Oryctolagus cuniculus: one gene and its partners. The protein of the gene in region 3 purifies or fractionates together with the protein of the main gene of each other region. This does not show direct contact. Links are inferred from orthologs where the notes say so. Each region holds a gene or a part of one and is shown on either strand. Other genes may lie near its edges. The genes, in order: HNRNPUL1, HNRNPR, FUS, SNRPD1, LARP1, DDX17 and ZNF326.

Region 1 (3,500 bases), on a different chromosome or scaffold from region 3:
CAGAACCATGAGGTCCAGTTGGGGCCATGTCAGATTAAAATTCTAAAATGCCCTCACAAGGAGACAAAGTGAGGCCAAGGGTTTAAAAAAAAACCCAGTCTTCCAAGTGAGAGGAAGTTGGGTGATGCATTATTGGTGCAGCCAAGCTGGCAGAATAACCACGAGAAGCTTTTGGGCTAGCCTGTGTTCGTTACGTGGTGCAGGATTCTCAACATTCCGTGAATGCAACTTGGTCCCTGGGGATTCCTCTCTGACAAGCCAACAACCATCACTGGTTGTTCACCAAGACCCTGTGACCCAGCAGCTCAGGCTATACACACAGAAGACACTTCAGTGAGGCCACAGGATGGGGTGTCACACCCTTGTACCAAGGATGTGAACAGCAGTCTGTATTTGCCCACTCACAGACTCTTACGCATCATAAATCCAAGGCTTATTCACAGATCCACAAATATGGAAAATAAGGAAACACTCTCTGCTCCTTGAGTATGGCTTCAGGACAAATGTCAAGTGTGACGTTGCACAGGCAACAAGCATGTGGAAGTCATTATTCTGAGACAGGAATCCTTAACCATTTTGGGGTCACTCATCCTTCTGAGAATGCTGAAAGCCATGGACAATCTTTCTAACTCAAAACTGTCTCGTTTCTTTAAAAAAGACGTATCTCTGTGCATGTGCATATACAATATAAAACAAAGTATTCCATGTTCGATTTCAAAGGCTCTTAAATCCTTTGATGTTAGCTGAAATGTCAGGAAAAAATACATGACTTAGGTTTTTACCTGTCAATCATAAAAACTTGGTGAAGGAAGCTGGGAAATGCCTACTCGCAGAGGAAGTAATCGTAATCACCAGTTACTGCGTGCCAGGCCCTGCTGGGTATTGCATGCCATTATGACCTCCACTTTACAGACCAGGACACTGAGACCCATAGGGTAAAGTCGGCTGCCATGGGTACATAGTGAGGAAACAGCACAGCCAGGATTTCAGCCGCAGCCTGCCAGGTTCATAAATCCACACCTCTTCCATTCTATTAAAGGGCTCTCCCCTAATGATGTCCTTTGGAGCTGCTGCTGAGCCAAAGCTAGCAGGCCTGGTTGCAGCTCCAAACCCGGCAGACTGGGCCTGGGAGCTGGGCAGAGGCCAGACTGCATCCTCGTGTATGGCTGAACCCTGGCCAGCACCACAGCCGAAAAGCACTGAGAAAGGAGAAGGCTGGAGGGGAAATTTTAGGTACCCAAGAGGCCCGCCCCCTCCCAGGACATGCTGCCATCAGTGAGCACCTGGTCTAGGATATAGTTGCGTTTCTTGCGGGCAGCGATCTGGATGAGGCGGTTGAGGCACTGGGTGGCCTGCTGGATCAGGACGTCCCAGCGGCCAGCGTAGTTTCGCTGTCGGCGCAGGCCCATCACCTGAGGGTGGGAGAGGTGAGGAGTGAGTGGTCCTAGTTGCAGGGCAGCACTGAGCAGGTGGGAGGTGCGGAGCGCTGTCCTTACCCGCATCTTATCCATGATGGCATTGGTACCCAGGATGTTGTACTTCTTGGAAGGGTTGGAGGCTGCATGTTTGATGGCCCAAGTGGTCTTGCCAGCAGCAGGTAGGCCCACCATCATCAGAATCTACAACACAAGATGCAAAGGGATGCTGCATGGGGACTGGCACTGCCTTTGTTGGCGGTGACAACAGAATACTCTGATCTCATGGCTGCCCCGGAAAGTGGAGGCAGCAGCAGCAGCACCGGCCTCACAGTGCTGCAGCTGCGATTCAAAGGGGTCAGGCTGGTCAGATGCTTGGCCGAAGGCCTGGCGAGGGATGAGTGCTAACTCAACAGCTGTCATCACCAGCACTGACATTTTGGTCAAGGCAGGAAAAGGGACTCCGACAGGGAAAAGCCCCAGAAAGACTGTGCTCCAGGGCCGGTCCCTACAGTGGGCATGAGAAGTGGTACGAACTTATTGCAGTCAGAAACAGGAAGCGAGCTGTACACACACGAACAAGGATCACTCCTAATCAGTACACTCAGAATCAGCACACTCTAGATGCAAACTAAATGCCTCATAAGGAGGGAGAAGAGAAGGCAGTTTAGGATGTCAATAAAAATGATGTGCAAAGCAGGGCTTTCCTGTGGTGGGCTACAGCTCACAAGCACTAGTGAGGGAGCAAGGCAGGCTGTCACAATGCTCCAACCCTAATACCCTAAGATCTCAGTCACATGTGTACACCGAAACAGGCTCCCGGCATACCAAAGAGAATACCAAAACTCTTCAAAGTGAACTGATGAGCAGGTGGTGGTGGAGAGGGGAAATTTTTTTTTCCTATTTTCTAGAATAAACTTAACTCACACATACAAAAAAAAAAAAAAAACAAACACTATTTAATAACAAAGATCAGGGCTGGTGTTGTGGCATGGCAGGTTGAGCTTCTGCCTGCGATGCTCGCACCCATATGGGCACCAGTTTGAGACCCAAGCTGCTCCACTTCCAATCCAGCTCCCTGCTAATGCACCTGGAAAAGCAGTGGAGGATGGACCAAGTGCTTGAGCCCCTGCAGCCACATAGGAAACCAGAAGAAGCTCCCGGCTTCTGGCTTAGGCCTGGCCCAGTCCCAGCCATTGTGGCCATTTGGTGAGTGAAACAGTGGATGGACGATCTCTGTCTCTCTTCCTCTCTGTAACTCTTTCAAATAATAATAATAATAATAAAAAAATCTGGAAAACAAAACAAAACACAATAAAACCCAGAAAACAAAAAACCAGGATCCCCAGGACAGCTCCTGGAGCCTACTCATCTCCAAAGCCCGCCTGTGTCTTCTGCTCTCAGACACCCTGGGTGGCAGAGTGCACCCCCAGAAATCGCCTGCTGTCCTTTCTGCTGAGGCAAAGCCCTCCCTCCTTTTGGAATCTAAGACTCAGGTAGATGACATTAGCCCCTTCCTCTTTAGCCTAAGCCACAGCAGCTCCACCCATCTCCCACTCAGAGCACCCTTCCACACGAAGGGCTGAGGGGCCCACTGGGCCCAGTCACTCTCGCAGTGAGCATGCTCCTTCCCCACACCCGGCTATTTAGTTCCCCTCTGCCTCAGCAGCTAGGTGGCTGTGGGAGGCGGACGCCAGTGCGGCCTTGAGTCTGCTCACCTCACATTCTGCCTTGCTCTTTGGTCCAACGGTGCCGCGGATCCGCTCGCTGAGGGGAAGGTGCTGGATGAAGGTGAATCCTGGGAGGACAGAACAGTAGGGCTCTGCCCTCTGTCCGAAGTTGAACTCCACGGCACAGTTCTTCACCAGGACATGAGGATACAGGGCCTGACCCCCCAGGGCCTCCTTCTGGATTCGGAAGGCAATGCCCATCCACTTCCCATTCTTGGTGAAGGAAAGTTCCACATCGTTTCCACATTCAAAGTCCTGGGAGAAAAAGTCAATGACAATACTTGCCAACTCTCAGCACAAGGCCCTGGGAGCCACAGGTGGGAGAGAGTTGACGCAGGAGATGCAGGGAGTGGAA
Region 2 (2,474 bases), on a different chromosome or scaffold from region 3:
AGTCTGGCCTAGCCTCTAGCCCCAGCTGTTTCCAGCATGTGAGAAGTGAGCCGACAGATGGGATGGCAGATTTATCTCTCTTCTTTGAAATATATAAAAATAAAATTTAAAAATACAGTGGGAGGACATCAGTTTTTTTCTTGGTGCAGTTTACATAAAAACAGTTAGGGTTCAGGGGAACTTCACCTTCTGGCTGTATCCAACAATAATCGGGAATAGCCACATGAGAGAATCAGGTTGAGTTCCAGGCACCTGACTGTGGTCTTACCCAGTCCTGGTTATTATGGGCATTTGGCACTGAACCAACCAATGGAAGATCTTTCTCTCTCTCTTTCATGTAAAATGAAAATATGTAAAAATTTCAAATAACTTGAAAGAAGTATATTAAATGACATGTTATATTTTAAAATTTATTTGTAAAATCATTTTTCTAATTTTGTATAGGCTATGGATGAAATGAATGGCAAAGAAATAGAAGGGGAGGAGATTGAAATAGTTTTAGCCAAGCCACCAGACAAGAAAAGGAAAGAGCGCCAAGCTGCTAGACAGGCCTCCAGAAGCACCGCGTGAGTCTGCTTTTCGTAGATACGTCTTTGAACAAGGAGTAATTGGATAATGGCAATCAGGTGAATGAAATAAAATCAAGAAAAATCTTGAAGCAAGCTAATTTGATTTTTCTCTTCTCTCTTCCCTTCATTGCTAGGTATGAAGATTATTACTATCACCCTCCTCCTCGAATGCCACCTCCAATTAGAGGCCGAGGTCGTGGTGGGGGGAGAGGTGGATATGGCTACCCTCCAGATTACTATGGCTATGAAGATTACTATGACGATTACTATGGTTATGATTATCACGACTATCGTGGAGGCTATGAAGATCCCTACTACGGCTATGATGATGGCTATGCAGTAAGAGGAAGAGGAGGAGGAAGGGGAGGGCGAGGTGCTCCACCACCACCAAGGGGGCGGGGAGCACCACCTCCAAGAGGTAGAGCTGGCTATTCACAGAGGGGGGCACCCTTGGGACCACCACGAGGCTCTAGGGGTGGCAGAGGGGGTCCTGCACAACAGCAGAGAGGCCGTGGTTCCCGTGGAGCTCGGGGCAATCGTGGGGGCAATGTAGGAGGCAAGAGAAAGGCAGACGGGTACAACCAACCTGATTCCAAGCGTCGTCAGACCAACAACCAACAGAACTGGGGTTCCCAACCCATCGCTCAGCAGCCGCTTCAGCAAGGTGGTGACTATTCCGGTAACTATGGTTACAATAATGACAACCAGGAATTTTATCAGGATACTTATGGGCAACAGTGGAAATAGACAAGTGAGGGTTTGAAAACGATATGGCAAGATACGATTGGCTCTAGATCTACATTCTTCAAAAAAAAAAAATTGGCTTAACTGTTTCATCTTTAAGTAGCAGTTTGCTGCCATTTGTATTGGGCTGAAGAAATCACTATTGTGTATATACTCAAGTCTTTTTATTTTTCCTCTTTTCATAAATGCTCTTGGACATTATTGGGCTTGCAGAGTTCCCTTATTCTGGGGGTGACAATGCTTTTATTGTTTCAGGCTTCATTTTAGCTTCAAAACAAGCTGTTAAATCATGCTTTTGCAGAACCTTTGGTTTTGGACAGTTTCATTTTTTTGGATTTGGGATAGATTACATAGGAGTACGGAGTATGCTGTAAATAAAAATACAAGCTAGTGCTTTGTCTTAGTAGTTTTAAGAAATTAAAGCAAACAAATTTAAGTTTTCTTGTATTGAAAATAACCTATGATTGTATGTTTTGCATTCCTAGAAGTAGGTTAACTGTGTTTTTAAATTGTTATAACTTCACACCTTTTTGAAATCTGCCCTACAAAATTTGTTTGGCTTAAACGTCAAAGCCGTGACAATTTGTTCTTTGATGTGATTGTATTTCCAATTTCTTGTTCATGTAAGATTTCAATAAAACTCAAAAATCTATTCAAAACATTACCTATTTCAAATTCAATTGTGTCCTAAAATATTATTTTATTTGTAATCCTTGCAAGAAATATTGTTTTCAAAGTATAACTGCCTATGTGAGTGATCAAATTCACACAAAATTTCTTGTCTATTCCAACATGTATCGTGGATGTCAGACTGAGGCTTAGTCTAAATTCAAGTATTCCAAGTAGCACTTCATTGATTGGTGTTCTCTCATAGTTTCTATTAATTTTGAAATTTTATCCATTATTTAAAAAGGTTCAAAGACTTTTGAGCATTTTTGCAGGCATTGGATAACTTGTGTTAAATGAATAAAATGGGGCTGGGGAAGCAGACTGCAATTTATTTTGACCCACATTCATCATAATGGATAATTGTGGCTGAAGACCTTATTTGCTGGATAAGTGAACATACATACAGGGAAAATGCTTAGTACTGTAGCGGCCAGATGCACTGTGGACTGAACCTCAGTTTCAGCATATGTGATTGTGACTACCACTTTAGTT
Region 3 (4,074 bases):
CTCTGAGAACTGCCGCCGTAACTACGGGAAACACACAGGCAAATCAGAACCCCGGCATGCCCACAACTTCCTTTCACTTTCAGCACATCCCCTCCTCCCTACCAACACAGGCCTCCCTTCCCCCACCACACACTGCGCCTCCTAATGGCTCCTAGTGCTCTGCCTTCTTTCCTTAGCAATTCACCCCTCATCTTGCGGGCACACAAACACCTTACCTGCCGGAGGTGTTGCTGGGAGCTGGCTGCTGTCCATAGCCAGGGTACGAAGACTGCTGCCCATAGGATGATTGAGAACTCTGGCTGCTGCCATAGCCGCCAGTTGAGCCATACCCCTGGGGAGCTGACTGAGCGCCATAGCCTGCTACGAAGAAAAACAAAGCAAGGGAGTCACGAGAGCTATGAAGAAACAAAGGCATGGGAAGGGTTGAAAAAAAAAAAAAAAAAACATACTCTACCTATGTTCATCCATACCTCTTAGCAACTGCTAGTAAATCCTGCAACTCCCAGCCAGGGAAAGGACATTCTTCTGAACTCTAAGGTTAATGTTCTAACTCCTACTGACTTTTTAAAGACAGTTCCAATTTTATTCCACCTATCCTAAAGCCAGTCTCCAAGACTGGAATCTTATTCAAAATATCCCTCTGTGTCAACCACGTTTTAATATGCTGGTATGAGTACACCATACACAAGAAAACCCACATGAATTATTTTCACTTCAGAACTCGGGGGCAAATTCCTTCTCCTGGCGTATCCCGTGATGCCCAGTAATGGGACTTCAGACAAGAAGACCATTTTCTCCACTAAGAATCAGCCTAAGACTGGCACTCTCTTTAGGGAGTATGCCCTCATGCTTAGCAGGGAAACAGAGAAAAGGTACAGCATAAACAAAAAGTCAAAGGAAAAAAGGAAACGATTAAAAGCAAGGAAGGAAGCATTTTCACTGGAAAAGACTGCAGACTCCAAGAAGTTTTAGGGTTAAAGGGGAAAAAACATGAGAGATTCACCACTTCAGCACTGCTTAGGGTTTCAAGGCAGAGTGACCCCCCCGCCCAAGACAGACTCACTGTTCTGGGTCTGTCCGTAAGAAGAACCGTAGCTGCTCTGGCCATAGCCTGAAGTGTCTGCTGACTGCCCGTAGCTGCTGTAACTCTGCTGTCCGTAGGGCTGATTGCTCTGCTGGGAGTAGCCCTGCCCAGGCTGGGTGGGGTAGGCCCCGTAGCTGCAGGGGAAAAAGAAAAAAGAAGAAAAAGGGTGCAGTCAAGAAAATGACCTCAACCACCCTTGCCCGCTAGGAATTCTAGAAGCCCAGACACGGCACTCACCTTTGGGTTGCTTGCTGGGTATAGTCTGATGAAGAGAAAAGACAATCAACGTTAGGGTCAAGAAAGGGGTTGCCAGGTCTATTCCTTAACCCAAGAACTGGGGCATCGGAGCCAGGAAACCCACCAGCCTACTGCTGCCCTGCTGGCCACCAACGCCCCACCAGACTCTTTCTCAATGCAAACTCCACTCGCTTGAGGAACTGCTAGAAAACCTGTCCCATCCCTGTCCCGGTCACACCCACTCCATGACAAAGGCCACGGAGTTCCTAAGTGGGCACCAAAAAACAATAGCCATTCTCCGCCCCTTGGCCAATCTTGGGAGAAAAAGCAGAGGGGAGTCTTAAAGCAAAGCCAAGCAACCAAAAAGCAGAGGTCCTGTGACGCCAAACGACAAGGCCCCTCATCAATTCGATCAGTGCTCAAGTCCCCAGGCCTGGGGCTCCAACAGGCTCTCATCGACTCCTGCCGACTTCTCAGACAGGAGGAGCCGCCGCAACCCAAAAGGTACCGAAAAGCGCTTTTAGGACGTCACATTCGAGACGCAGCAGCGAGATCAACTCCTGCCCTCAGTCCAGGAACCCAGGCGCTTCCCGCCGCAGGAAACGGCAAAGGGATCGGGGAAGGGTGTGGCCTCGGACGCCCGTTCCCAATTCGGGGAAAAAGAAAATTTAGGCGGGAAAACCCTCGGACTCGGCCCCCGAGACCGTTGGCGGATCTCCCCGACGCCCCCCTCAACCGTTAGGCCGGGCGCGCGGCCCCGATCCCGAGCATCCGCCCCCGGCCGCGTGGCAACCGAGGCGGGAACGCGGCGGTCCCGCCCCTTCCCGTGGGACCCTGAGGGGCGAGGCCCACGCCGGAGGCGGGCCGCCGAGTCCGCTACCGAGGGTCTCGCGACAAAAAGCCGGCCTGACACGAGGCTGGGAAGGGAGGATCGGCGCCGCGAGCACGGGGGAGGGGCCCGCAAGGCGCGTGCGCGCACCGAGTGCCCGGATGCAGCACTGCGACAAAGCGGGCCCGAGCGCGGCGTGGAGGGGGTGGGGGGGCCCGGGAACCTGGGCATTTCCGCCCGCTACCACAGACTCGAACTCGCTGAAAAGCGTCCTCCCCCCACCTCATCCAAGGGAACGGAGGGAAGACTTCCCGCCCCGCACGAAACGCGCCAGAGGAGCAAAACAAAATGGCGACAACAGCCTCCCGCCCCCCCTTCCGCCCCTCTCCGCGGGCTTCCCGCCACAGGGGTTCGAAAATATCCTACACGCGATCGCCGCCCTGGCCCCACTGAAAAAAATCAAAAGCCCAGCTAGGAGAGAGCAAGCCAGGCCCTCCGGAGCGGCGCGCCACCGCTGCCTCGCGCCCTTACATACCGTTTGAGGCCATCTCCGCGCACGCGCGCACAGGCCGCCAAGCAACAAGATTCCGACACCTCGGAACACCGACGCCTAGAGGACTGAGCAGCCCCGCCTCCTGCGTCGAGGCTTATGTACGCCTCCCCGCCCACGTACCGCGGGGGGACGTACCAACCGCCGAAAACGAAGGGGGGAAGCAGGGCCGGACTCCTACCACCTTCCGGGGAGGGTCGAGGGTCCCAGCAGAAAGAAGGAAAAAAACTAACTAATACATATAAGAGAATATATATCATCATGTTTTCTCTGATCAATAGCTCACCTTCGCTCTGCAGGCCTAGCCTACGATTCTTCTCTACCCCTATAAGAGAGACATGGTACGGTCTGATTACGTTAGAGGCGGGGCCGAGGCCCCGGGCGTCTGCGGAAGGAACCGTAGTCAAGGCCGGGAGTCGAGGTGTGGGAACCGAGATTCCTCTGGTTGGCCCCTCTCGCCCGGGCCTCACTTTGACTCGGGATGGCGAGCCCCTCCTCCGCTGCCTTTCTGCCGCATAGGGCGCCACCCTCCTGTCTGCGAGCTGTAGCGTTGCTCCCTCAGCCATCGCAGCGACCCTCTCCTTCCCTGCGTCTCGGCTTTCGCTTCAGCGTCTTGAGGGTGCCTCTGCGTTAGTCCTCAGTGGGGTTTATAGATTGTGACATCTGACCGGAAAGCAAGCATGGAGTTGAGCCTGGATCTCTGGGCCCTCATGCAGCGCGGAGCGATCGGCAGAACCCTCGTGGCTCTGCCCCTGGAGGACCGTGGGGCGGGAAAGCCCGGGCCCCCCTCCGACCCCAGCTAGCCTTGCCGTTATCAGATTACGGGTCCCCCCTCCCCGCCCCTTTCCCGACGACGACCTACACTCTTCATTCTGAGCCCTTCCGCGGAACCCGCGTGGAGATACTGGGGATAATGCATTGGCATACGACTTCAGTAGTTTCATGCGCAGTTTTACATCCTTCTCATCAAAAACCGGTGAAGAAAGTAAAAAAGGCATCTCCATTGTAGAGACGAGAAAAGCGAAGCTCCTGGGAGAGCCTGCGCAATCCGTGTTTGTACAGGCAGCTGAGCGAGGGGCAGTGATTCGAATCCAGGTCCAGGTCACTACACCACTAGGTCTTTGTTGGTTACCTGAACTATTTATAGAATTTTGAAAGCCTGTTCCGTTTCCTGTGAGAATGAAGGCGGGGGGGGGGGGGGGGCAAAATTCAAATTAACTTGCACCTTGCACTCTGATCAGCTTTGCCTAGGGAGGGGGATTTGAATCTTTTCCAACAAATCAGACAAAGATTATTCCTGGTACATGTGCGACTGTAGATTTTCCTTCCCAACCAAACTTTGCTCTGGGTTCCAGACATTTCTTTGTAGATTGA
Region 4 (4,000 bases), on a different chromosome or scaffold from region 3:
CCAGCAGACGCTCTGGGCTCCTGGCTTCAGCCTGACCCAGCCCTAGCTGTTGTGGTCAGTTGGGAAGTGAACCAGCGAATGAAGATCTCGCTCTCTTTCAAATAAATAAAAAATAAATCTTAAAAATATATATACATACGTATATGACAAAGGACTGGTATCCAGGATATACAGAATTGTAACAACCCAGTAATAAAAAGAAACCATCAAAATAAACAACAGATTCAAACATAACATCACAACAGATGTGCAAATAGCTAATAAGCATTAGTCATTAGAAAAATACAAACTAAAACTTAAGGAAACACTACCATATACCCACTAAAATCCATAAAATTAAGCAGATTGACAACAACAAATGCTGGTGAGGAAGTGGAGCAATTGGAAGTCTAACATATTGCTATTAGAAGTTTAAAATGGTACAAGCACTTTGAAAAATGGTAGGGCATTTCTTATGAAGTTAAACATATCCTTACCCTATGTAGAATTCTGCATGTCTGCTCCTAAGTATACCCTATGTAGGATTCTGCATGTCTACTCCTAAGTATTTACCCAAGAAAAATCAAAGCTATGTATACAGAGATTTGCATAAGGATGTTCAAAACAGCTTTAAACAAAACATATCATTTTAAAACATACAATTGGACTACTATCCTACAATTAAATTTTTTTTTTTAAATACTGGGGGTGGGCGGCACTCAGCAGGTTAACCCTTTACTTGGGACAGCTTCCTATATTCCGTAACAGAGTGCAGGTTGTTGTACCAGCTGCTCTACTTCTGATCCAGCTCTCTGCTAATGCACCTAGGAAAACAACCCAAGATGGCCAGAGTGTTTGGGGCCCCTGTCACCCACGTGTGAGACCCAGACAGAATCCCTGGCTCCTGGTTTCAGTTGGCCCAGCCTGGGCTGTTGTGGCACTTAGAAAGCGAATCAGCAGTTGGGAGGCACTTCTCTGTGTTGCTCTGCCTTGTTTTAAATAAACAAATCTTTAAAGTAACAAAAAGCAAAACTAAATGTTGATGAATCTCAGGAGCATGCTAAGAAATCTTAAGCAAACATAAAAAAGACATATAGTCTTTTTTTATTCCAAAGAATAAATTCTACTGCAGGCAAAACTACAGTGGAAGAAACACATTGCTTTGGTGGATGTGGAGCTAAAAGTTGACTTGAGATAGCTTAAGGGAACTTCTTGAGGTTTTGGTATTTTACCATGGCAGGGGTTTGGGTTACACTAGTGTATAATTTTTCCACTCTCAGGAAATACACACTGAACTTCACTTAAGAAAGTGAAGTTTGTCTCCCTGGTTTTGGCTAGGGTGACAGGATAAGGATGATAATGCCACCAACTGAGATGCAGAAATAAATACAATGAGCATACACAAACTAATTAGTCAAACCATTTTCTTGAGGCAAGACACAAGAGGGTTTGTATCTACCTAGTACCTAAGACACAGAACGGGATTCAGCACACTCGTTAAAAATTACAGGGAAATTCTGCTAGAACATGTGCTATTTTCAAATGAGACAAACTGAATCTTCAGTGACAAAAAAAAAAAAAAAAAAAAAAAAAAAAAATTCATTAAGATTCAAACGAGCAGGTATGGAGAAATATAAAAATACACTGAGTTCTGAGACTGTTATACAAAGTTATAATTCAAATAAGAATGAACATTCACATTAAATGTCTTCTCTACAAACTCCACCCATAAAGTATAACTGTATTTCAAACATACTAGATGTTAACCACTTATCTGTCTTCAGCACTAAACAAAAAGTTCCAAGGCAGGGATTCTTGCCTTTAAGAAAATTCTATTATCGGCACACAGTAACTGTAACAGGTGCCCCATAACTGGTCAGCACTGCCAGTCTCGACTTGGGAGGAAAGAAACTCGTCAAATACTTCCAACCGCTAGCTTAGTACCAGAAACCACCGCTGGGCTGCAGGCTCAGCCTCCATGTAAAGCACCAAAATCTAACCTATCTGCAAGCAGTTTGGAACTAATTACAAACATCAATAAACAATCCTTTAGTAGGCTCAACTAAGCAACACAATCGCAGAAAGGAAACCGGAGGAATTACCAGCTATGTGTAACCAGCCACAATCAAAAAGTATTGGCTTTTGCCTCATAGTGGGAGATTTTTCTGATCAAAAGTCTAGGGAGCATCGAGAGAGACCAAAAACTTTAAAATCACAACTTGCAAACTAGTTCCTCTCTGATCTAAAACATGCTGCAAGTAGGCTTCCTTATTTCCATGATAAACTCCGTCTTCAGACCCACGGGAGCTCCATGCGCACAATGAGAATGGGTAACTAACGCGAGACCAAGCCACCTTCAAGGCCCCCAAGGCAGCAGGTGACAAGACGCAGCTCGGTCTTCAAGCCCGCCTCTTGGAAGACAGGCGAGGCTGAAGAACGATCGATCACGACCCGGAGCCGCGGCCAAGATGGGGCGCGCGCGGCGGGCGCCGCAGGCCGTTAGCAGGCCGCGCGCACGCGGCTTTCCCGCCTCCGGCCTCGGGACCGCTCAGCTTCCCGAGCCCGGCCCGAACCCTTACGGCTCAGCCCCCGCCTCGCTCGGCCACCTCCTCACCTCACGAGCTTCATCGTAGCGGCGCAATCGTCCTTTCTGCTCGATAACGCAGAGAATGCAACTACCGAGGACCGGCTAGGCGTATGAATGGCCGGAAACGCCTACTCCACGGGCTCCGGACGTAGCGAGCGCGCGGAGCACTGTGGACGTGCGGCGGAAACGCCGAGGCCTTGCTGGGCCACTTTGCCTTCCGGCCAAGGGGAGCGCGACTGCGACCCCTCGCTGCCGGAGGTATGCATTGCAGAGGCTGAGGGCGTGACTGTCTGTCTAAGGAGAGGGCGATTTGAACAGTTAAATCCAATTAGCAGTCGCCATCACGCTTCGGCACGGCGGGGCGCGTTGGCGAAGCACCAAATACAACTTCCTCCGTGAACAAAGAGCGGTTTTGAGAGAAACACAGGTTATTGCGAATTCTGGTCCAACACCAAGAACCTTATTTAGCATTACTGATGAATCTGAAGAAAATTGCAGAATTATGTTTCCGAGACACAGTTGTCTGTTTTCCTCGTACTCAACGTCTCAGTAACATTCAACACACTTCAGTTTTGAAATACCTTCTACCTTTGTTTCCCGGGCCAAGCACTCTGGGTTTCTCCCTAACCCACTAGCTGTTCTGTCTAGGCCTCTGAGTCTTTACACGTGTCAGGATGCTTCAGGGCTTACAGCTGTAGTCCTTTTTAGGAAAACTTTCTCCTTTAGCCTGGGCGATCTCCTCCAAAACTATGGTTTTAATTTGTAAATCTAGATTGAACTTCATCCATGATCACCAGAACTCTAGGATGTTGTAAGGCAATGCTCATCAAACTTTAATGTGCACAGGACAGACCCAAGGAATTTTTTAAATAAAGATTTATTTATTTTGAAAATCAGAGTTAACAGAGAAAGAGGGAGAGTCAGAGATCTTCCAACCATACGTTTTTCCCCAAGTGGCTGCAGCAGCCAAGGCAGAGCCAGGCTGAAGCCAGGAGCCCAGAGCTTCCTCCAGGTCTCCTACAAGGGTGCAGAGGCCCAAGCACTTAGGCCCTCTTCCGCTGCTTTCCCAGGTGCCTTAGCAGGGAGCTGGATCAGAAGTGGAGCAAGCCGGGACTTGAACTGGCACCCATGTGGGATGCTGGTGTTGTAGAGGCGGCTTTACCCGCTATGTCGCACCACCAGCCCCATTGAGGAAATTTGAAGATGAAAATTCTGGTTCAGTTGTTGTAGGGCCTGAAATTCTGCATTTCCAGAAGCCTTCAGTTGAAGATTTCCCTAGTCCATGGATCACAACTTGAGTAGCAAAGCTATGAGGCATATTTGTGAGCAGTCCTCACAACCTCTTCTACTCCCCTTTCTTCTCGAGAGTTCTCAGTATTCTTCTGGAGACGCACGTGGTCCTCAGGAAGCTGACTCTACCCTTTATGTCAATGA
Region 5 (3,500 bases), on a different chromosome or scaffold from region 3:
TCCACTTAGTGAATACTACTTCAGCGTGGACAATTTAGAGCGAGACTTCTTCCTGCGACGGAAAATGGATGCTGATGGTTTCCTTCCTATCACCCTTATTGCTTCCTTCCACCGAGTGCAGGCCCTCACCACTGACATCTCACTCATTTTTGCGGTATGTCTCCCTCCCTGGGACAAGGGTGCAGGGAAGAGAAAGGTTCTTACTTAACGGAGTTGGAGTTGCAGGCCAGGGCAAAAATCCCTGGGAGGGTCCTCATCTGATTACTTGTGTTGTAGTCCCAAGGTTTAGCTACCGTCCTTTCCTGCCTTCTTCCTTCCTGCTTTCACAGAAAATGTAGACAGAATAGCACTAAGGAGCCCAACACCAGCTTTAACAAGTGCCAGTCTTAGTCCATCATACCTGCATCTATTTCCCCCTCATATTCATCCACAAATGTGTCAGTATTCATCTCTTCGAGATAAAGACTTGCTGAAAAATGTAACCACAATATCATCACTCCTAAAAACATGAGTATTAACAATTCATCAATACCACCAAATACCCACTCAGTTTCAGACTCACCCAAGTTGTCCAAAAATAATCTTAACCATAGTTTGTGAAGCTCAGGACTCCAGTAAGACCTCTGCATTTTAAGCTCCTCCCTCCATCCCTTTATTTTTCTTGCGGTTTACTGTTAGAGTAAACTGGGGTGTGTACCCTGTAGAATATCCCTCAAGACACAGTGATGTTAGTTAACATGTTCATCTATGTTCCAAAGTTTCTGTAAATTGGTAGCCTAGAGAACTGATTACATGGAAGTTTGGGAGCTGTTTCACCCTTATCAAGAGTGTTCCAAGAGTGCTGGATTTTGTAGAATAGCAGTTAAAGATGCCACCTGTGACATCAGAGTCCCATATGGGTGCTGGTATGTGTCCTGGCTGCTCGACTTCTGCTGCAGCTCCCTGCTGATGGCCTGGGAAAAGCAGAGGAAGGTGACTCAAGTGCTTGAGCTCCTGCTACCAACATGAGGGACGTGGGAGAAATTTCTGGTTCCAGCTTGACGCAGCCCTGGCTATTGCAGCCCTCTGGGGAATAGAACAGCAGATGGAAGATTGATCTCTATGTCTGTCTCTCCCTGTCTCTCTCTCTAACTCTTCCAAATAAATTAATATTTTTTTTAAGTACAGATCAAGAATGATGTTTTCTCTTTCATGGCACGTAACATATCTTTTGTTTATCTCTCTTGTGAGCAAAGCTAATATTGGTGATCATTTCTGATGACTTCATTGGGAATGGTAACACTGTGGTGGTCTCAATCTGTCGGTCTCCAGGGTTGGAATCTCGCTTTGAGGGGAACCGTTGCCTCATTGACTACGCAGTTACTGAGGCAGATAGATGGCTCGATCTTTTCCCTTTCCTTAGCCAGTTTACGGAATTGTCAGTTGATCCCTAATTACTTCCTCGGAGTTTTTTGTTTTGTTTGTTTGTTTGTTTGGTCTGTTTGGAATTATTGAATATTTTAATATTATAGATTCAAACTTTTACTTCAGTTCATTGCAGTTAATATGTTGGATCAAATTGTCTGATTTTTGACCAGTTCATCTTGTACATTTTATGCCACAGATTTGGAGTTAGCCACTTTTTAAAAGAACTTTAATTGCTTTTTGAAAGAAAATGGTATTTAAATACTGTAGTCCCAGTTAGAGGGGCTGCTCATTGTTGCTTCGCTGATTGTTTTTAGAAGGTAATTTTTGGGGCTGGCATTGTGGCATAGCAGTTAAAGCTGCCCTCTGCAACACTGGCATCCCATATGGGCACCAGTTTCTGTCCCAGCTGCTCCACTTCAGTCCAGCTCCCTACTCATGTGCTGAGGAAAGCAACAGAAGATGGCACAAGTACCTGGGCCCTTGCCACCCACTTGGGAGACCCGGAAGAAGCTCCTAGGTCCAGGCTTCAGCCTGGCTTAGCCCTCACTGTCGGCAGCCGCCTGGAGAGTGAACAAGTGGATGAAAGACCTCTCCTTCTCTCTTTAACTCTGACTTACAAATAAATCTTTTGTAAAAAGATTGTGAGATTATACTTTCTTATAAAGTTCAGGAGTATAGGATCTTTATTTAAACTGGGTCTTTCTTTGAATCTAATTCCTCCCCCCCCCCCCCCCCGCCAAAAATCTTAATTGCTAGTAACATCAGCATAATTACTTGTTTCATTCCACAGTATATACACGTTGTTCACTCTTTCTAAAAATTTTTATTTATTTCTTTTCATTTTATTTGGAAGAGACACTTCCACTGGTTCACTCCCCAAATTTATGCAATAGCCAGGGCTGGGCCGATGGGCCTAGAACTCAATCCAGTCTTTCCACCTGGGTGGCAGGGGACCCAAGTACTTGAGCTGTCATCTCCTGCCTCCCAGGATACACTTTACCAGTAAGCTGTATTGGAAGTGTAGCAGCTGGGTCTGAACCAGATTTACTGATAAAGAGATATGGATTGGCCAGCGCCGTGGCTCAATAGGCTAATCCTCCGCCTTACGGCGCCGGCACACCGGGTTCTAGTCCTGGTCGGGGCGCCGGATTCTGTCCTGGTTGCCCCTCTTCCAGGCCAGCTCTCTGCTATGGCCCAGGAGTGCAGTGGAGGATGGCCCAAGTCCTTGGGCCCTGCACCCGCATGGGAGACCAGGAGAAGCACCTGGCTCCTGGCTTCGGATCAGCGCGGTGCGCCGGCTGCAGCACGGCGGCTGCAGCGGCCATTGGAGGGTGAACCAACTGCAAAAGGAAGACCTTTCTCCCTGTCTCTCTCTCTCTCTCTCTCACTGTCCACTCTGCCTGTCAAAAAAAAAAAAAAAGAGAGAGAGAGAGATGGATGTCTTCAGCAGTGATGGAACTACTGTGCCTACTGTGCCTAACAGTGCCCTGACATCATTATCTCTGCTACCACTGAAAACCAATTTTTTTAATTCCTACAGTTAAATGAGTATTTCACACCATTAGCAATGATGAATTCTTTCATTTTAAAGTAAAGACAAGGCTGGCACCGCGGCTCACTAGGCTAATCCTCCACCTGTGGCTCTGGCACACCGGGTTCTAGTCCCGGTCAGGACGCAGGATTCTGTCCCAGCTGCCCCTCTTCCAGGCCAGCTCTCTGCTGTGGCCTGGGAAGGCAGTGGAGGATGGCCCAAGTGCTTGGGCCCTACACCCCATGGGAGACCAGGAGAAGCACCTGGCTCCTGCCTTCGGATCAGCGCGGTGCGCTGGCCGCAGCGCACCAGCCGTGGCGGCCATTGGAGGGTAAACCAATGGCAAAGGAAGACCTTTCTCTCTGTCTCTCTCTCTCTCTCTTACTATCCACTCTGCCTGTCAAAAAAAAAAAAAAAAAAAAAAAGTAAAGACAAATTCCTATGTGTATTCATATCCTTCCCCCTTCTTTGATAAATGGACGTTACAAAACATGTGTTTTCAGTTGTGTTTTTTGTTTTTGCTTCATTTATCTGGGAGCCGGTCTTAACTAGTTGCATAGTG
Region 6 (3,500 bases), on a different chromosome or scaffold from region 3:
GACCATAGGTGTATTGGCCTGCTTGAGCTCCAAAGGCGGAATTTGGACTTCCATAGCCACTGCCATTAGCATAACCGGCTCTATCGGTTTCAGCACGATCTCGATAGCTTGCAGAGTCTCTCCGGCCACCATCCTTGACTCCTCGAAGCCGCCGGTCACACTCATCCTGATACATCAGGTTGGGATTGTTGGCTGAGGAAGTGGTCCGGTACCGAGAACGGCCTCCTGACGGAAGGACAGAAGGCAACTTTAAATTCAAGGAACGCGATCCAGCCACAGCTGTATCAACACGAGTGACTGCACGTTCCCTGGATCCCTGAAAGCAGCCTCTAACTGGTAACATCAGTAACATTCAACGATACCCAGCTTGGCACCCTTCCAACTTGGCACCCTTCTAGGGTCTCGACTACTTGAGGACGACCAACCAACACAATTTTGGGAGTTTCTGGGATTCTACTGTGTTTTGGGACAATCTGGAGATTCTACTGTATTTTAGAACTGTGTCGTCCCAACTGTCACATCTCACTCCATAAAGAGGACCAAAAACACTAGGTAAGTATTTTGAACGTATTAAAAAGCAATGGTAATTTAGCTTAATTTTTGAACATGCGCTATACATTTCAAAACTCAAAAGATGAGTTTCAGATTGTCATCTACAAAAATACTGTGCTGCAAAAATAGGACAATTACGACAAACTTTACATTTTCTTATTTAGCAGAGCTTATGGAAACTACTGAACACTGTCCTCTTGTCTTCACTAAACATCCACCTCAAAGCCTTCACAGTATTCAGAAAGACGAGACACAGCAACGTCAGGAGGAAAACACCTCGGCAGCGCCTGCAGAGCTCCAGGGCTCAGCCTTACCCCCTCCGCCGCCGCCGCCTCTGTGGTCCACCAGCTGCATCAGCTTGGGGTTGATGGCCTGATTGGCCTCCTCCAGCACCTTGATCAGCTCTCTGGCCTGCTTCAGGTTCCCTGGGGTGAAGAAGGTATACGCAGTGCCCTTGTTGGTGCTACGAGCCGTTCGGCCAATACGGTGCACATAGTCCTCTGAGCTGTTTGGATAGTCATAGTTGATCACAAACTTGACATCTTCCACATCTGCAGTCGGCGACGCGTCAGTGTGCAGGTGGATGTGGCAGGGAAAGAGAAGAGAAAGGACATGCCAACAACAGGTGGGAAGCACGAATGCAGATGACAGCAAGAGGAGAGAAGATCAAGTTAGTAACCGCTCTGAGCAGGAACAAAACAAGACTCATCCCAACAGAGTAAAAGAGGATTGATTAGTGGTTCCTGGGACATGCATGGGACACTATAAAAGCCGACGGAAACCCCGATCATTCAAACTCCAATCATTCAAACTCCTGCCTCTACTATGCGGCCAATATACTGACAGGAGCTACACCAGAACTGGTCTTTAACAAATTCCTTTTCGAAACTGGAATCGTAGAAGAGAGGCGTTAATTCGCAAAGCCAAATCACTTCTACTCTGTTGGGAGAAGCCTGGCAAACTCTACCAACACCACGACAAACTTACCTTCCAGCCAGTCACAGAGCAAAATGAGAAAAGGAGTTTCACAGACTCATTACTATGCTTTGCAGACTTAATCCAAACATTTACGTTAGGCTGATTCCTTTCTGCTCTTGCATCTTAAAACACTGATCACAGCCAAAGTCAAGTCTATACCGATTTTTCTTTTGCATAAATATTCTGATTATTTTTCTCTCGATTACCACAAGAACACATTACACTAAAATTTCACTCTACCAAGCCCAGCTTCTGCCAAATGAGTGTTTTGCTCAACTCAAGGTTATTTTAACCCAGTACTTGTTTCAATTATTGCAGATTGTCTATGTGACCTGGGAAATTATATAAATAGCCAAAGAATGTGGGAAAAACCATGAAACCTTGAGACAGTTTGATATTCTGTCCACTGCTGAGAATTGGGCTGAGTAACTTCCTAATGCTTACAGTATGTAAATGTTAGTGTAATGCTTTCAGCTAAATGTTTTTTAAACCTACTTAAACAACAAATTTAATATAACAAAGAATCCTAATGTTTTGTGGAAAAATCTGCATTTTACAAAGAATATTCAGAAAATATCCTAGATAAAACACAGATTTTTGTGATATAAGTAATTAAAAAACATTCTCTGTTTGTTACCAGACCGATGCACACTCCCTCCTCCTTTGGGAAACCGCTGCAGCCGATCCCGTCTCTTTGCCTTTTATTTTTGGCGGCCTCCTTTCGAAAACTCCGCCTTCTGACACGGGACCACTGGAGCGCGGGGAGCATGCATCAAGGGTCCGTGGCAGTGAGAAGTCCCCACACACGCTCGCTCTGTGAACTGGCTTAGATGCTTCTCTGTAGCCCCATTTGGTTGCCATGCGCCGGAGAACCTGGGTTCGGGTAAAAATTTCAGGTCCTCCAACGCCTCCCCCAAGGATAATTGGGGTGATTGTAGAAAAAAATAATTAATAAAAAAAAAGCAAGTTACATCCAAAGGGTCAGACCGCATCTATTGCCCAGACTGGATTAATTTCAGGGGGAAGGGGAGATGATTTTTTTTTTTTAAAAATCAGCTGTTGGTACAGGGCTTATGAAGAGGGGCATTATGTCTGTTTCTTATTACAATAAAGGCTCCTCAGTCTTTACTGACCCTTAAGTCCTGAATCACACCAGAAAGACGAGAAGGCACTTATCACAGGGGGCAGCGTGAGTCTCCGGCTCGGGTCGTTGATGCAACAATTAAAAAAATGTACAGGGCCAGGAAGGACGTTAAGACGGGGTGGGCGGGGAGGAGGGCTGGGGCAGGGCGGGGGTTATATCCGTGACCACATCTTCAGAGCTGGAGCAAGGCTCCCTAGTCAATCCCAGTGTGTGCGACCACGGAAAGCAGAGCAGGCTCAGCCCCTGCGCTGGACGCACAGAGGCGGGCTTTCCGGACGGGAAGCACTGGGCTCTGGGATCAACAGTTCAGACGCTAACACTTGGAGGGAGTTCTAGAGGGGTTCAGTGGGGGGCAGAGGCATGGTGCAAGTTCTTCACACTGGAAAGGCGTCCTGTGTGCACACGGCTGGCTGAGAGCACGTAAGAGCAAGCGCGGACCTTGGGCTTCCTCGAGTCAGGCCTGCCCTGATGTTACTTGTGCACTGCCACAATACCAGCTTGCCGCCTTTAGAGAAGATGCTGTAGCAGGGTAAGAAATGGACAAGTTCGTGCTTTGGCCAGCTGCCCAGGATAAGAAACTGCCCTGGGAAGTCCTACGACATGGCCTCTAACTCCAATCGCTAACTAGGAGGGACTGAGACCAGCCAACAGGCTCATCTAGAGCTACTTCGGCCCAATGTAGATTTGCCTCGGCCATGTACTGAGTGATCTGCAGCTGATATCAAAGCTTCTGTTAAAAAACAAAACAAAATAAATTCAATATTTTTAGCTTAACAGTGTGTAGTTTAAACAAAAAAAGAAAAAATCCCAGTGGAAAGGGATTCGT
Region 7 (4,144 bases), on a different chromosome or scaffold from region 3:
TCTAAGCCAGGATAGAGACGCCTCGTGACAAGTTTAGACTGGCATTTATGTTACTGCAGCTGAGAACTCGAGACTGAAGGGCAGAAAAAAAAATTAGTTAGGAAGTTGCAGCACTAGTTATGGGGAGAGCTAACGAGTCTGTACATTCAATTGGTGGCAGTGGGGATGGAGAGGAGGGGGCAGGTTCAAGAAATTTTAGAGGGTAATGAACAGATGAAAGACCTGGGTACGGCTTGGGAGTGAGTGGAAGGAAGGGCTGGGCTGAGTAGCGACTGATGACTGGCAGGCGGGCTGGCTGGGATTAGTAGGATTAGGGGGATTAGCTCACCCTGCCCCAAACAGACAGGAAAAAATACATACAGGAGCCCGGGCAGGTCTGAGGAGGAAAATGGTGAATTGAGTTTTCGACATGATCAGCTCAGGTGAATAGAAAAACATATATGGCGGGGGCGGGGGGAGGAGTGTGGAGAGAAGAAGGAAATGAGCAAAGGGTGGAGAGCAGGGTGAATCATTTAGGGAGGAGAAGGAAAGTGGTGGGGAGGAAGCGACGCCTGGCCGGATTTCTGGCTACGTCAGACACCCGCTGTGTCTGTGTAACTGGAGGTTTTCTTACAGTGTATTTCCTTAGAACTTGGTTCCAGCAGCTGATTGAACCCGGAAGAAGAGCAAGGAGCTTGACTCCTGTTTCCTGTCAACTCACTGTTGCCACCATTTGCTTTACGTGGGGTGGTGGGGAGGGGGAGGATTTTCTTAAACCCGTGGTTCCAGCTGCCCCAAGGTCAGAGTGATCAGAACCGTTTTCTCTTTCCCTATGGTTGGGTGGTTGAATAACTTCGCCCACTGCCCACTGTCCACTCAAAAGTGTAAATAATGGAATGCTAGTAGGTTCGTTTGCCTGCGACCTTGTGCAGCTTCTTACTAGCGCCTTCAAATTCAGAGCGGAGAGCCTGCTTTGCCTCATTCCCAGAGTTCTAAGACCGTCCCAGACTTCAGCGTCTCCCTACACGCTCAAGCATTTTCCCGAGCAGTCATCACCAGCCAATAAAAAGCAAAAGGTCGGCACGTGATTTCATTCGTTTCGGGCAGGAGGAAGAGCCTCTAACCAGAGCCTTTCGCTCTTGCCAGGTTCAAACATGGCGGGCCGCAGTCCGCCCTTCCAGAACACTCAGCTCGCTTCCCCGCAGGCGCCGCCACTCGCCGACGCTCTCTTTTTTACCCACCGTGCCCGCGGCGGCTCCACGGGGTCAAAATCCTAGAGCGTGACAGCGGCCCTGCTTCCCGCCCCCGCGCGAGGGCCCGCCCACCAGCCCGCGCCAGCCAATCGCGGGCCGCGCTGCGGCGGCCGGCAGCACCGCCCGGCCCTGCCCCCAGCCTCACTGTGGCCTGCGCTCTCCGGCCCGTAGCGCCGCTCTCGGTGGAGCGGACTGGTTGTGAGGAACCGCGCGGATCGCGGGCGCTTGCCGCCGGCCAGAGCTCAGCTTAGCGCCTCTGAGGCCGTCCGCCCCGAGCCTCCGCCATGGACTTCGAGGACGGTAAGCGCAGCCTCTTGAGAGGTCTCCGCGGCGGGCGGGAGGCGGGAGGCCTGCGCCGGGGGTCTGTTTACCGTCTCAAGATGGCCGTGTGGGCTTTGTTCTGGCGGGCCTGGAGGCCGGGCCCAGGGCCCTGAGGCGGCCTCTGGAGGGACCCGCACGCCTCGAATCGGCCCGGCCGGGAGAACCTGGGAGCTGGGTGTGGGCCTCGGTGCCGGGAAGGACGCGCCCAGAGCTCCAGGCCCCGGGGCTCGGGCCGCGGCCTCGCCCAGGCCCCGGTGCGTGGAAACCGCCTAACGCCTCCCAACTTCCCGGCTCAGGCAAACGGACGCATGGGGCCTGCCGCCACCCCCACCCCCCTCGTGTCGCCTTCGCCCCACAGGGCGGCGACCCGGCCCGTCCGTCCGTTTAGTCAGTGCTCTTCCTGCCTGGTAGCATTTTCCGAGGCTTGTTCACGGTGCTGATTTCGGTTGTTTTTAAGAAAAGATGTTTAGAGGGCGTCCCTCAGAGACGATCGGTGGAAAGCCAGGTATTTCCTGGTTGGAAAACTGGGCTTGTTAATTCTCGTTCGAATTAGGCTCTGTGAACCGGAGCACTTTTATTTATTTATTTTTTTCGGTCTTGTGTGTGGATGCGGTTTAAGTTAGAATTCTGGCACGAGCAAACATCACGTGCCCTTCACCTTCAGACGTGTACTCAGCCGCTTGTGTTCCTGCTGACGAAATAAACTGTCGGAGCCGTGCCTTTTAGCCCCCCCCCCCCCCCCCAGCTCTTCAGATCGTTTTCACAGGGTCACAAAAAATTAATCTGGGCTTCGTCTTGTCCTCCGATGTCCTCAAAAGTCCTCAACTTTTAGCGACATGGGTGTCGAGAGAGGAAAAAAAAATGGCATGTAGTGACAGCAAGTAGGGAGGCCAGGGAAAGGGCTTGTGTAGTTAAACTGGATTTAATCCGGGGGAACCAGGCAGGCGTTTCTAAATAAAAACCAGTTCGCTAAGTAGTTGAAAGCCTCTAATGCCACCAAAAAAACAAGCCATACTTAACATTGAATGAGGTGTGATCTCCGCTTAGGAATGAAGCAGCTTTTGAATTTTGATTTTTACAAAAGTAAAAGCTACTGAATCAAGATATATGAAAGCCCCCCCCCCCCATTAGCCCTTTTGTAGATACTTTGAAATAGGAAGTTCAGCTGGTAAGAGTACCTGGGGTTTTTGTTTGTTTTAGTTGGACTTTGACTCATTTTGATATAAATACCTTTCAACTCTGAATGTTTGAAGTGATCAAAGTTTGGGATGAAAATAAAAAAAAAATTTACTGTGTTTTCAGGCTACAGTTTGATAGTACAAACACCCAAAGGGCAATCAGAGGCTGCCAGGTGTAGGTGGGGACAATCCTTTCCACCCACCCCAACGCAATTAGCCAATACAAATTCTGCAATTGAAAAACAAGAATCAAACTTAGTAATAACTTACTATTCTCATAGGCCTACAATTCTAAACAGTGTCCGTGATAAAATATTCCCTGCCGCGCTGTCCATCCTCAGTCACCAAATTCTATTTGGGAAATGGAATTTGACCAACAGTGTATCTATACAGTGTAGTGTGGTTCTGTTGTATCCAAATGAGTACTGTATTAAATTTCATTCTTTCAGTATTTATTTGCAAAATTAACTAAATGATTAAACTTTTGTTAAATTGGTTTGATGGGGAAATTGGCAATATGGTTTTCAACGGTGCCGTATCTTGGATGGATTTAACACACACTCAGATATACATATACATTCCTCAGATTAGATCTTGAAATCTTTATAGACAGTGAATTAAATGGCAGAAGTGTTGACTTTGAAAAAAATTACATTACATAAAACCACCTCTCAAATGTCTCTGCTTTTTGCATGTTTTTAATACATAATTTTAGCCGCTCTGCTTTCCTTCTTGTTCTGTACTGTAAATCAGTATTGGATCCCTCTTTTGACTGTTATTATGGATCAGGTGTTATGAACTAATTTTTCCATTACTGTAATTGGATGATGAGATGAACCTGCCTTTGGGGAGGGTGGTCAAGAAAAAGAGATGCGTGTTTTCCCAAAGGGAGTATTGGTAATTGTTTGTACCTCAGTTTTGCAGATAATTGAGTTAATGACATTTGAGAAATTGTGTTTGTTTCAAATAGATGCATATATAATTTTGGAGGTTTGCTAATATTTTACTAATTCCTTTCTGTTAACTGTGTCTTCATAGATTACACACACTCTGCTTGCAGGAATACTTATCAGGGCTTTAATGGTAAGTATCCTCTTTCATTTGCAATTAAATTTTTTGAGGATTCAGTGCATTTCAGATTTTCTCTTCAGACTCACCAATGTGAAAAGTCAGTTCTACTTTTTCAGTCATGGTTTTGGCTCTTGATGTATCACTTTTCATTGTTAACTGTTGCTATAATGTATGTAGTATTTGAATTTGGGATCAGAAAAAGTTAGGGGTTTTCATTGTTAATTAGACTTTTTGTCCATTTTATTTGAATTATGATTTTTAAATTTATTACAAAGGCTCTAATAACATTCTAAGTGGTGAAGTACCCAGTACTGGCTGAGTTCTTTTTGTTGAATTAGAAGC

Evidence for each region.
Region 1: the proteins of FUS (region 3) and HNRNPUL1 purify together in Homo sapiens (affinity purification with mass spectrometry; 3 studies listed by BioGRID and IntAct, with this or other methods). This does not show direct contact. The link is inferred for Oryctolagus cuniculus from reciprocal best matches to the Homo sapiens genes FUS and HNRNPUL1.
Region 2: the proteins of FUS (region 3) and HNRNPR purify together in Homo sapiens (affinity purification with mass spectrometry; 4 studies listed by BioGRID and IntAct, with this or other methods). This does not show direct contact. The link is inferred for Oryctolagus cuniculus from reciprocal best matches to the Homo sapiens genes FUS and HNRNPR.
Region 4: the proteins of FUS (region 3) and SNRPD1 purify together in Homo sapiens (affinity purification with mass spectrometry; 3 studies listed by BioGRID and IntAct, with this or other methods). This does not show direct contact. The link is inferred for Oryctolagus cuniculus from reciprocal best matches to the Homo sapiens genes FUS and SNRPD1.
Region 5: the proteins of FUS (region 3) and LARP1 purify together in Homo sapiens (affinity purification with mass spectrometry; 3 studies listed by BioGRID and IntAct, with this or other methods). This does not show direct contact. The link is inferred for Oryctolagus cuniculus from reciprocal best matches to the Homo sapiens genes FUS and LARP1.
Region 6: the proteins of FUS (region 3) and DDX17 purify together in Homo sapiens (affinity purification with mass spectrometry; 5 studies listed by BioGRID and IntAct, with this or other methods). This does not show direct contact. The link is inferred for Oryctolagus cuniculus from reciprocal best matches to the Homo sapiens genes FUS and DDX17.
Region 7: the proteins of FUS (region 3) and ZNF326 purify together in Homo sapiens (affinity purification with mass spectrometry; 3 studies listed by BioGRID and IntAct, with this or other methods). This does not show direct contact. The link is inferred for Oryctolagus cuniculus from reciprocal best matches to the Homo sapiens genes FUS and ZNF326.

What each region holds. Positions count from the first base shown.
Region 1 is NC_091449.1:13,324,115-13,327,614, forward strand, and holds part of HNRNPUL1 (heterogeneous nuclear ribonucleoprotein U-like protein 1), read right to left. Parts: intron 3,401-3,500; coding exon 3,134-3,400; intron 1,620-3,133; coding exon 1,497-1,619; intron 1,413-1,496; coding exon 1,284-1,412; intron 1-1,283.
Region 2 is NC_091438.1:147,612,369-147,614,842, forward strand, and holds the end of HNRNPR (heterogeneous nuclear ribonucleoprotein R), read left to right. Parts: intron 1-444; coding exon 445-566; intron 567-703; coding exon 704-1,316; 3' UTR 1,317-1,974; downstream 1,975-2,474. UniProt on the Homo sapiens protein: Component of ribonucleosomes, which are complexes of at least 20 other different heterogeneous nuclear ribonucleoproteins (hnRNP). hnRNP play an important role in processing of precursor mRNA in the nucleus.
Region 3 is NC_091450.1:6,013,781-6,017,854, forward strand, and holds the start of FUS (RNA-binding protein FUS), read right to left. Parts: upstream 2,801-4,074; 5' UTR 2,699-2,800; coding exon 2,686-2,698; intron 1,347-2,685; coding exon 1,322-1,346; intron 1,219-1,321; coding exon 1,064-1,218; intron 361-1,063; coding exon 216-360; intron 22-215; coding exon 1-21. UniProt on the Homo sapiens protein: DNA/RNA-binding protein that plays a role in various cellular processes such as transcription regulation, RNA splicing, RNA transport, DNA repair and damage response. Binds to ssRNA containing the consensus sequence 5'-AGGUAA-3'.
Region 4 is NC_091441.1:56,034,661-56,038,660, forward strand, and holds the start of SNRPD1 (small nuclear ribonucleoprotein Sm D1), read right to left. Parts: upstream 2,801-4,000; 5' UTR 2,608-2,800; coding exon 2,594-2,607; intron 2,508-2,593; exon of another isoform or gene 2,334-2,507; intron 1-2,333. UniProt on the Homo sapiens protein: Plays a role in pre-mRNA splicing as a core component of the spliceosomal U1, U2, U4 and U5 small nuclear ribonucleoproteins (snRNPs), the building blocks of the spliceosome.
Region 5 is NC_091437.1:41,684,037-41,687,536, forward strand, and holds part of LARP1 (la-related protein 1), read left to right. Parts: intron 1-9; coding exon 10-154; intron 155-3,500. UniProt on the Homo sapiens protein: RNA-binding protein that regulates the translation of specific target mRNA species downstream of the mTORC1 complex, in function of growth signals and nutrient availability.
Region 6 is NC_091442.1:115,130,814-115,134,313, forward strand, and holds part of DDX17 (probable ATP-dependent RNA helicase DDX17), read right to left. Parts: intron 1,104-3,500; coding exon 867-1,103; intron 226-866; coding exon 1-225. UniProt on the Homo sapiens protein: As an RNA helicase, unwinds RNA and alters RNA structures through ATP binding and hydrolysis.
Region 7 is NC_091438.1:80,642,212-80,646,355, reverse strand, and holds the start of ZNF326 (DBIRD complex subunit ZNF326), read left to right. Parts: upstream 1-1,344; 5' UTR 1,345-1,516; coding exon 1,517-1,532; intron 1,533-3,769; coding exon 3,770-3,814; intron 3,815-4,144. UniProt on the Homo sapiens protein: Core component of the DBIRD complex, a multiprotein complex that acts at the interface between core mRNP particles and RNA polymerase II (RNAPII) and integrates transcript elongation with the regulation of alternative splicing: the DBIRD complex affects local transcript elongation rates and alternative splicing of a large set of exons embedded in (A + T)-rich DNA regions.